2 linked regions of the Tamandua tetradactyla genome follow. The protein of the gene in region 2 interacts with the protein of the main gene of each other region in a pairwise test. Links are inferred from orthologs where the notes say so. Each region holds a gene or a part of one and is shown on either strand. Other genes may lie near its edges.

Region 1 (3,746 bases), on a different chromosome or scaffold from region 2:
CTCCAGTCTCATCTAATTTCCCACCAGGTTCCTGCCATCCTGATCCACATATGACCTGATTCCTGTATGACCTCAATTTTCTTTCTTCTAAGACTTAGCACATGTGGTTCCAAAAGCTTCAAATGCTTGCCCTCACCTACCCTCCTTTGGCCAATCAAGTTCTACTTGGCTTTTCCATGTCAGGTAAGGGCTCATTTTCCACTGTTGGCCCCTGCACTGATGGCATAACAACTGCTTGCCTGCCTTCTCCTAAAATCAACTTCCTAAGTGGGGGAACAGGGCTTTTTTTGATCATGGCTATGTCCCCAATGCCTGACACACAGTTGACCCTCAGGAATATATATCGAAAGAATGTAAGACATCACTCTGACAGGCTTTGTCCAAGCAAACAAGGTATTCAACTTCTTGGAATAAATAGCTAACCCACTCAGGCTCACTTATAAGAGATGAGGCAGGGTTCAATGTATCTCTAAGAGGGACCCATAGGACAAGTCTGGGCTCCACTCACCATTTCCTAGCAAGGTTCCACGAATGGGGCTCTTAAAAGGCCTACACAAACCCTGGGGGAGGGAGGGGGCAGGTGAACAAGGACGAGAGACTGCTGCAATTCCAAAGAACACCACATACAGATTCTTATTAGGTACTGTCGGCTGGGGTTATCAGTTTGTGCTTTGTTTATTTAAATAAATTTCCTTTCAGCAACTTGGGGCAATATTAGCCCCAGAGGTATTACAGGCAGGTCCCAGAGTACATGTACTCAGACCGACTCTACGGCGAAGAGATGAGGGGCTCTCCCAGAAGTTCTGCTGTCTCCTGGACCAGGAAAGAAAAAAAAAAAGGCAGACTGAGATGCCCCACCACCTGGCCCTGGCCCATTTGATATAAATCAAACCAGTGACTTATAGTTGTGTATTAGAATATCATATGTGATGTTCTAAACAATTTTCAAAGTTTACTAAAATGTTACCCATTCTGCCTCATTCTAAAGACACTGCCTCTAATAATTTTCATTTACCTCTCCACCCATTCCTCCTTAATGCCCATATTGAGGAATCAGCATTAACAAACTGACATTAAAAACAAAATCACAGACCAGGAAGGCGGGTTTAAAGTCTTGAGGGTTGTTTTGCTTTGTTTCATTTTTTTAAGGAAAAAAAAACAAGTTTAAAACATCCATCCTTATCAGAGGTTTTCTTGTGCAATATTTAAACACTGCCCAACTTTGATTAGATGTGCACAAGGGGTATTCATTCCAGTTGCAGGCGTGAGCTGTCCATTTCAGATTTAACACCTATGACAATATTACCTAAAGATGGCCTAGTGTGGATTCCACCTAATTTACAATTTGAGTCTCCCACTCAAACCTAAAGCTACTCAAAACTCCCTGACTCCCTGAAGAAAGCACTTCCTTCCCTGTCTCCTTAAGGGTAAAACCTCAAACCACCAAGGTGTGTGAAAAGAGGGAAGTGTCCCTTTTATGGTCTATTCTCAGATTCCGTTTATGGGATCATTAAAAATCTTACAAGGACTACATGGTAATTGTAATTGTTGAATTCAAAGTTTATCTCAGCTGTTTGCAAGGAAGTCTCTCACTTTTAAACTCTGAAATATTTTCCCTAGCATCTTATCTAAAAGAACCTTTAACAAAAGCAATCTACTGGCAAGATTCTTGAGTAATCTGTGGTCTCTGCAGGAGTGGGGGTGGGGCGCGCTATCTCGCACACCTGTTGTCAGGTGACCCAGTAGGCAGAACCCTGCTCAGTAGCCTCCCCATCCGACCCCACCCCAGCGAGTCTCTTCCCTGAGTTACCTTAAAAAAAATTTTTAAAAAGCACAACTCCCAAGCACAAAGCAAACAAAAGGCCAATGGGGAGACCGGCTAGAGCAACGGGGGTTCTCGTGCCCCTCTCTAGTCCATCCTCAAACAAGACTCCCCCCACCCCACGCCTCCCCTCCGCCCCAGCAGGCTTCGATCCCGCGAGAACACCCCCCTCCCCCACCCCCACCCCCACCCCCACCCCCACCCCCAGCAGATACTGAGCCCGACGCCCACACCACGGCCCCCTGGGTCTTGGGCTCGATTTATTGTGCCGGGGACGGCAACTCGCTGGCCGGAGGGCGCCTCACCAAGTCCAACTCCGCGCACAACGGCTCCCGGGCGCCCAAGCCGGCCAGCCAGTGCCGCGGGGCCTCCTCCGGCCCAGCCCATCCGTCCACACAGGACAGGGTCCGCCGGGAGAGGGGCCAGAACTGTCCCCTTCCCACAAAAGCGCCAAGGCGAGGGCAGGAGAACGCGTTTGTGAGAGAAGTTGGTTTCCGGGTTTGCTGTGTGAACAAAACCAACAGGAATCCCGCGCGGCCCGGCGGGGCCTGGGAGGGCGCCGGGCGAGCATGAGGCCCCGGCGTGGGCCGTGCCAAGCCGGGCGGCCAGAGCCCAGCCGAGTGCCGCCCGGGTGCACGCGAGGCCGGGCCGCTCCCAGGCACCGCGGCCGAAAGGCGCGCGACGGCCGGCCCCGGGCTGCGAGGAAAAGGCGCGCGGCGAGGGGGTCCGCTCGGCACTTACGGGGCGGCTCGGCGGCGGCGGCGGCGGCAGCTGCAAGGTGTCTCGGCCTGTGCCCTCTCGGCCGCTCGCGCCTTTTCTCTCCGCGCTCCTCGCTGGCCCACCCGCCTGCCTCCTCGTTTCCCGCCCGCTCGCCCCCTCCGCCCGGCTTCGTTGCCGAGTGAACTGGAACCAGTAGCCGCGGCCCCGGGATTCCCACAATGCACAGCGCGCCGCTCGTCACATCCCATCCCGGCCCCGCGCGTCCGGCCACCCCTCCCCGCGCAGCCCGGCCAACCCGGCCTTGACCCCAACCCCGCGGCTGCGTCCCGCGCTCAGGCCCTTGGCTGTCACTCGGTGTGTCCCAGGAATGCAAGCTCCGGGACGCTCCTTGAGCGAAGTCCTTGGAATAGGCCCGGCCCCCGAAGAAGCGCTCTTCCAAGGCGCGTCCGTGCTTCTGGGTCTCCAATAACAATGAACCCACTGTGTGTCTGGTCCTCGGCACGACACTTTCGCTGCTCATCCCTAGGAAGTTTCCCCTTATACCCAGGGAGGACGGCACAGTTGCTGTTACCACAGAGCACTTTCCCCTTCCCAACCAACCACGAAGCTCCCGCGCACCTCAGCGCCCCCGCGGTCCTGGGATATAAGGCACTAGTCCTGTCTGCCCCGTGGCTGCACGGCCAGCTGTCCCGGAGTTCTTCCTGGTCCCCTGCAGAAGTTCGGTCATGTTGTGCGCCTTAAAGCGGTTAGCTACTTCGATTCAGCAAACGTTCGCTATTGGACTCAAGTTGGGATTTACTAATACGAACAGTGATTTTTGTCATCGCACACATTTTTTAAAAACTGCGGTCAAGCAGAAGGACGAGGGGCCGCCGCAAAGCTCATCCCGGTATTCCTAAATCGGCTGTTCGCCCCAACGCATTAGTGCCCCACCCAGTTACTTAAATTGGATCCTCTCTTCTGCTCCAACCACCAACACCGGAATGTGGAAATGGTCCCCTCCCGCTGCGGACCAAATTTGCATAAAAATACAAACCCCGCAGGGTTGATGTGAAGTTTAAATGAGGTCTCTGAGCTTAGATGCGCTGCTGGGGGTCGTGGAGGTAATCAAAGCCCTCAGGCTGCCTCTGAAAAGCAGGTGTCCTAACTTCTTCCCCCTCATCGGGATCCTTTGCACTGCGCTTTAAAAGTTTGCAAAGCAGTC
Region 2 (3,746 bases):
GGGCTCCAGCAAAAGGATTAAGACCCAGCTTGAATGGATGGGATCACATCTCCATCTAAGCAAAAGATTTTACCCAGGGTGGTGCAATGGTGGCTCAGTGGCAGAATTCTTTCCTGCCCATGCCAAAAAAAAAGGTCCCACCCAAACAACATGTCTGCCCCACAATCCTGGATTAGGATGAAAAGAACATGGTTTTTCTGGGATATATAACAGTTTCAAACCAGCGCAGTATGTATTCTGTTTTTGTACTTAGTAGGATTATTTCCATCCTAACTGTAAACCCTCATCCCTCTGGATTATGAAGTAGGTTTTTAAAAAGTGCATGTTCATTACTATTGATGATAGTTAATCTTACCAGCCCTTTCAGTCTCTACTTCGTTCATTCTCTGGGTTTTGAAACATGGGCTGACTCCCCTGATATGTTTCAACAGTCTTGGTGACTGGGTGGATGACACTGAAGGAAAGAAGACAGGAAGTGGAGAAGATGAAGAATTGGAAACACAGAGGCAGAACGAGTGGTGAGTTTGGCAGAGCAAAGAGAAGGTAAGTCACAAATTGCTGATGAAGGGTTGAAAGAGTCCAATCAACAAAGCTGCCCCTAAACAACTTTCCAGTTCCAGAATCCAGCTCTGAGGCCTGTTCTCCAGGTTTCATGTATTCCCAAGTATTATAATTTCCACAGGTATCCTCACCATGGACATTGTCTGCCTATAGACCCCTTCCTCTTACTTGGTTAACATATCCAGCCAACTGAACAAAAGGGTATGTTCTGTCCCAAGACAGACCAATAATAGTAACTCATAAGCTAACACAGTGATTGGATCCAGCAGTGGGCATGTGATTCAAGCTACATTCATCAGTCTCTTTTTCTGAGATTTTTTTCAAGTGGAAACATCACAGTGGTAGAAGACTATGAGTCCTGGTCTCCCGTCCCAGCAGCCATGGTTCTAGCTTCCAGGAAAGAGCTGGCCTGAGGGAATGAAGCAGAGTACACCAAAAAACCAGGAATGATAGATGAAGAGAGAAGGGGGAAGTGGCAGAGAGCAAGAGAAAGATACACATACATAACGCTGATTATGTCTGAGTCCCTGTTTACAGCTCAACCTCTGCCCTTACCACAGTCCAATTAATTTCTCTTTTTGCCTAAGCATGTCTGCGTTGTTTCTGTCACTTAAAATCAAAAGAAACCTTGGCTCCTATTTCTCAAAACCAAAAAAGGCTAACATTCCTGATATCATGGAATACGAGCTACAATCCTAGAATTATCAGCCCTGTGTGAGCACAGAGTGAGGCATGATTGATTCCACCTGCTTTAAGAGGCAGACCTGCACCTGGTTTCACAATGAAGATGGCATTTACCTAAGTTTTGCTGTGCAATGAGTCAGTCAATAGAAAGGGGGAAGAATAGCTCAGGTGCGTGTTAGAGAGTGACAGTACATGAAGTTAGAAATGTATGGTGGGGGTCCTTGGCAAGGACAGTTGTGGGTGAACTCTAAGGAAGGGAGATTGTTCTAAGTGCACAATTGAGACTAGAAAGGGCAAAGAAGAAGGAGGAAAACCCACTGAGGATGTAGGGCAGTTGGTGGAGGTGGTGGCTGAGAGAAGCTTTGGAATTCTGGTATGGGCGCAATGGAATCCCAACAAAGGTACTGGAAGTTAGCTCGGGGAAAACGCTAACACTTAAAGAACGATACTGTTGCGTGTAGTCCCCGCCCCACCCCCCCGCCCCCGAGATTAAAAAAGCACAAACAAAAACGACTTCAATTAGCAAATAAAATAAAGCAATTTAAAATAACTGGAATTTGGGTTCACTGCATTTGTTTTCATAAGAATGAAGCAAATCAAGACATCTTCAGTGCTTTTTTCACACTTATTTTAAAAAAGCAATTTTCAGGGGCCTCGTTCTTGGGATAAGAACAAATTCAGCCAATTCACCTATATACTTTGGGAAAATGAAAAATAAACTTCTTATTATTCCATATGTTAATTTAAATGCTATGGGGCGGGGGTAGGGGTGGGAGTTAAACTAGTTTGCTAGTTTGAGCAGCCCAAAGACCACAGTATCAAGTCAATTGCGTCATCTCACAGACAGTTGACAACTGGGCCTTAGAAGCGATTCGTTGTTCAAACACCTCATTTTGCAGATGAAAACAAGGACCGTACGGTTAAAAGTTTTTACAGCCGAGCAAGTTACTTCTGGAGAGTAGTGATGTCTTAACTGCAGCCAGGGAGTGTTCATCATTATTGGCCATTAAGCTGTTTCCAAAAAAATGTTAAGAGTGTTGAGGGGTGGGGAGGAGCAGGAAGGACGCTCCTCCTTATTTTCATTGATTTTGGGGAGGGGGGGCTGGGATTGCCGCGTACGAATCGGCAGATCAAAGAATGGGGTGTAGACATGCCTGGCAGAACTCTCCAGTTATCATTCACACTTACGTAGACACAAACATCCCCTCCTCAGCGCACGACTGCAGAGCAGGCGGAGCGCGAGGCATACCTGCAGCCGCGTGAATACCACCCTCGCGGGTGGCCCCACGCCGGCTGCTGGGCCGCAGAGCCCGAACCTGGAGCGGGCAGAGAAGTTGGTGGATTCACGCGCGCCGGGTGCGGAGAGTTCTAGTTGAGGCCTGGGACGGGCTGGGGAAAGGGCAAGCAGCAGTGGCCGCGGCGCCACTTACCCACTGGTAGCCGTCTCACGCCGACCACCCGAAGGGCAGACACGCAAGGCCAACCCAGCTCCCGGCTGACGCGGGCTACGGAACTAGTAGCTCTGGACGCCGTGTCACCCTGGAGACAAGACCGTGCGTGGGCGGAGTCCGGGGAGTAGAGAAGGGGCGGGGGCGGGGCGGGACGGGGGCGGGGGAAGATGGGAAGAGGCTGGGACAGCCCTGGGAGGGAGCAGAGGGCGTGGACCCCCGACGGAGCAAGCTCCGGGAGCTGGCAGAGGGGTGGGGCAAGCGGCTGGGGTCGCTGAGATCCCTGAGGTCCCCGGGGTCCGGCCGAGCCGAGGGTTGGATACACACATCCTCGGATGCAAGTCAGCACGCGCACCGGTTACTTGAGAAGTGGGGAAGGCAGGAGGATTGGAATGTCCATGTTCACACCTGGCCCTGTGTTTAGCGGGGAGAGGGAAAGAGGCGGGGTCGCCTCGTTAGTAGTTTAAACTTGTGGAGTAAAACGAGGCCCTTGAGTAGGAACTCGCCCGAAGAGATCATTGGGTTTCCTGAGAAACTCTGGACTTCAGTTTTCCCAGAAAACAGATGAATGATTAGAACCAGAGAACCACCTCTCCCACCAGCCAGGGATAGGTCTGGGTTTTCTGTAGGCAGGGGCTGCTGCTCTGTAGGTTGAGGAAATCAAATTGACATAGGCCAATGGCTGGTATTACTGTTTAAATAACTGCTTTGGTCATAGAAAAGGGTGGGGGAGTTTTTCAATTAGAAAATTCTAATTGTCCCTCAAACTTGTCGTCCAGGAAGGAATTAGTTGTTTTCCCCACTTGGGATGGGGGAAGACATTAGGATCTATTTGTAGCTCGCTCGGCAGCATGTTTTGACGGGAGCCTTTGTTGGGATTAAATCTAGGTTCGAATTTATATAGTAGTCACAGGATCTGAGGTCCAATCTCTGTTCACCACTCTGTGGAGTTAGGTACCCTCTGGGGCTATAAAATTTGGATGTATGTGAGCTTCAAATCCAGAAAATATATAAAGCACTGACATGTAGAATATGCTTAATAAAAGGCAGACT

Evidence for each region.
Region 1: the proteins of ERICH2 (region 2) and MACROH2A1 interact in binary tests that used the Homo sapiens proteins (3 or more experiments, as listed by UniProt). The two-hybrid records come from large-scale screens. The link is inferred for Tamandua tetradactyla from reciprocal best matches to the Homo sapiens genes ERICH2 and MACROH2A1.

Annotation. Positions count from the first base shown.
Region 1 is NC_135346.1:14,678,540-14,682,285, forward strand, and holds the start of MACROH2A1 (core histone macro-H2A.1), read right to left. Parts: upstream 2,747-3,746; 5' UTR 2,564-2,746; intron 1-2,563. UniProt on the Homo sapiens protein: Variant histone H2A which replaces conventional H2A in a subset of nucleosomes where it represses transcription. Nucleosomes wrap and compact DNA into chromatin, limiting DNA accessibility to the cellular machineries which require DNA as a template.
Region 2 is NC_135329.1:142,355,604-142,359,349, reverse strand, and holds the start of ERICH2 (glutamate-rich protein 2), read right to left. Parts: upstream 2,788-3,746; 5' UTR 2,676-2,787; intron 1-2,675.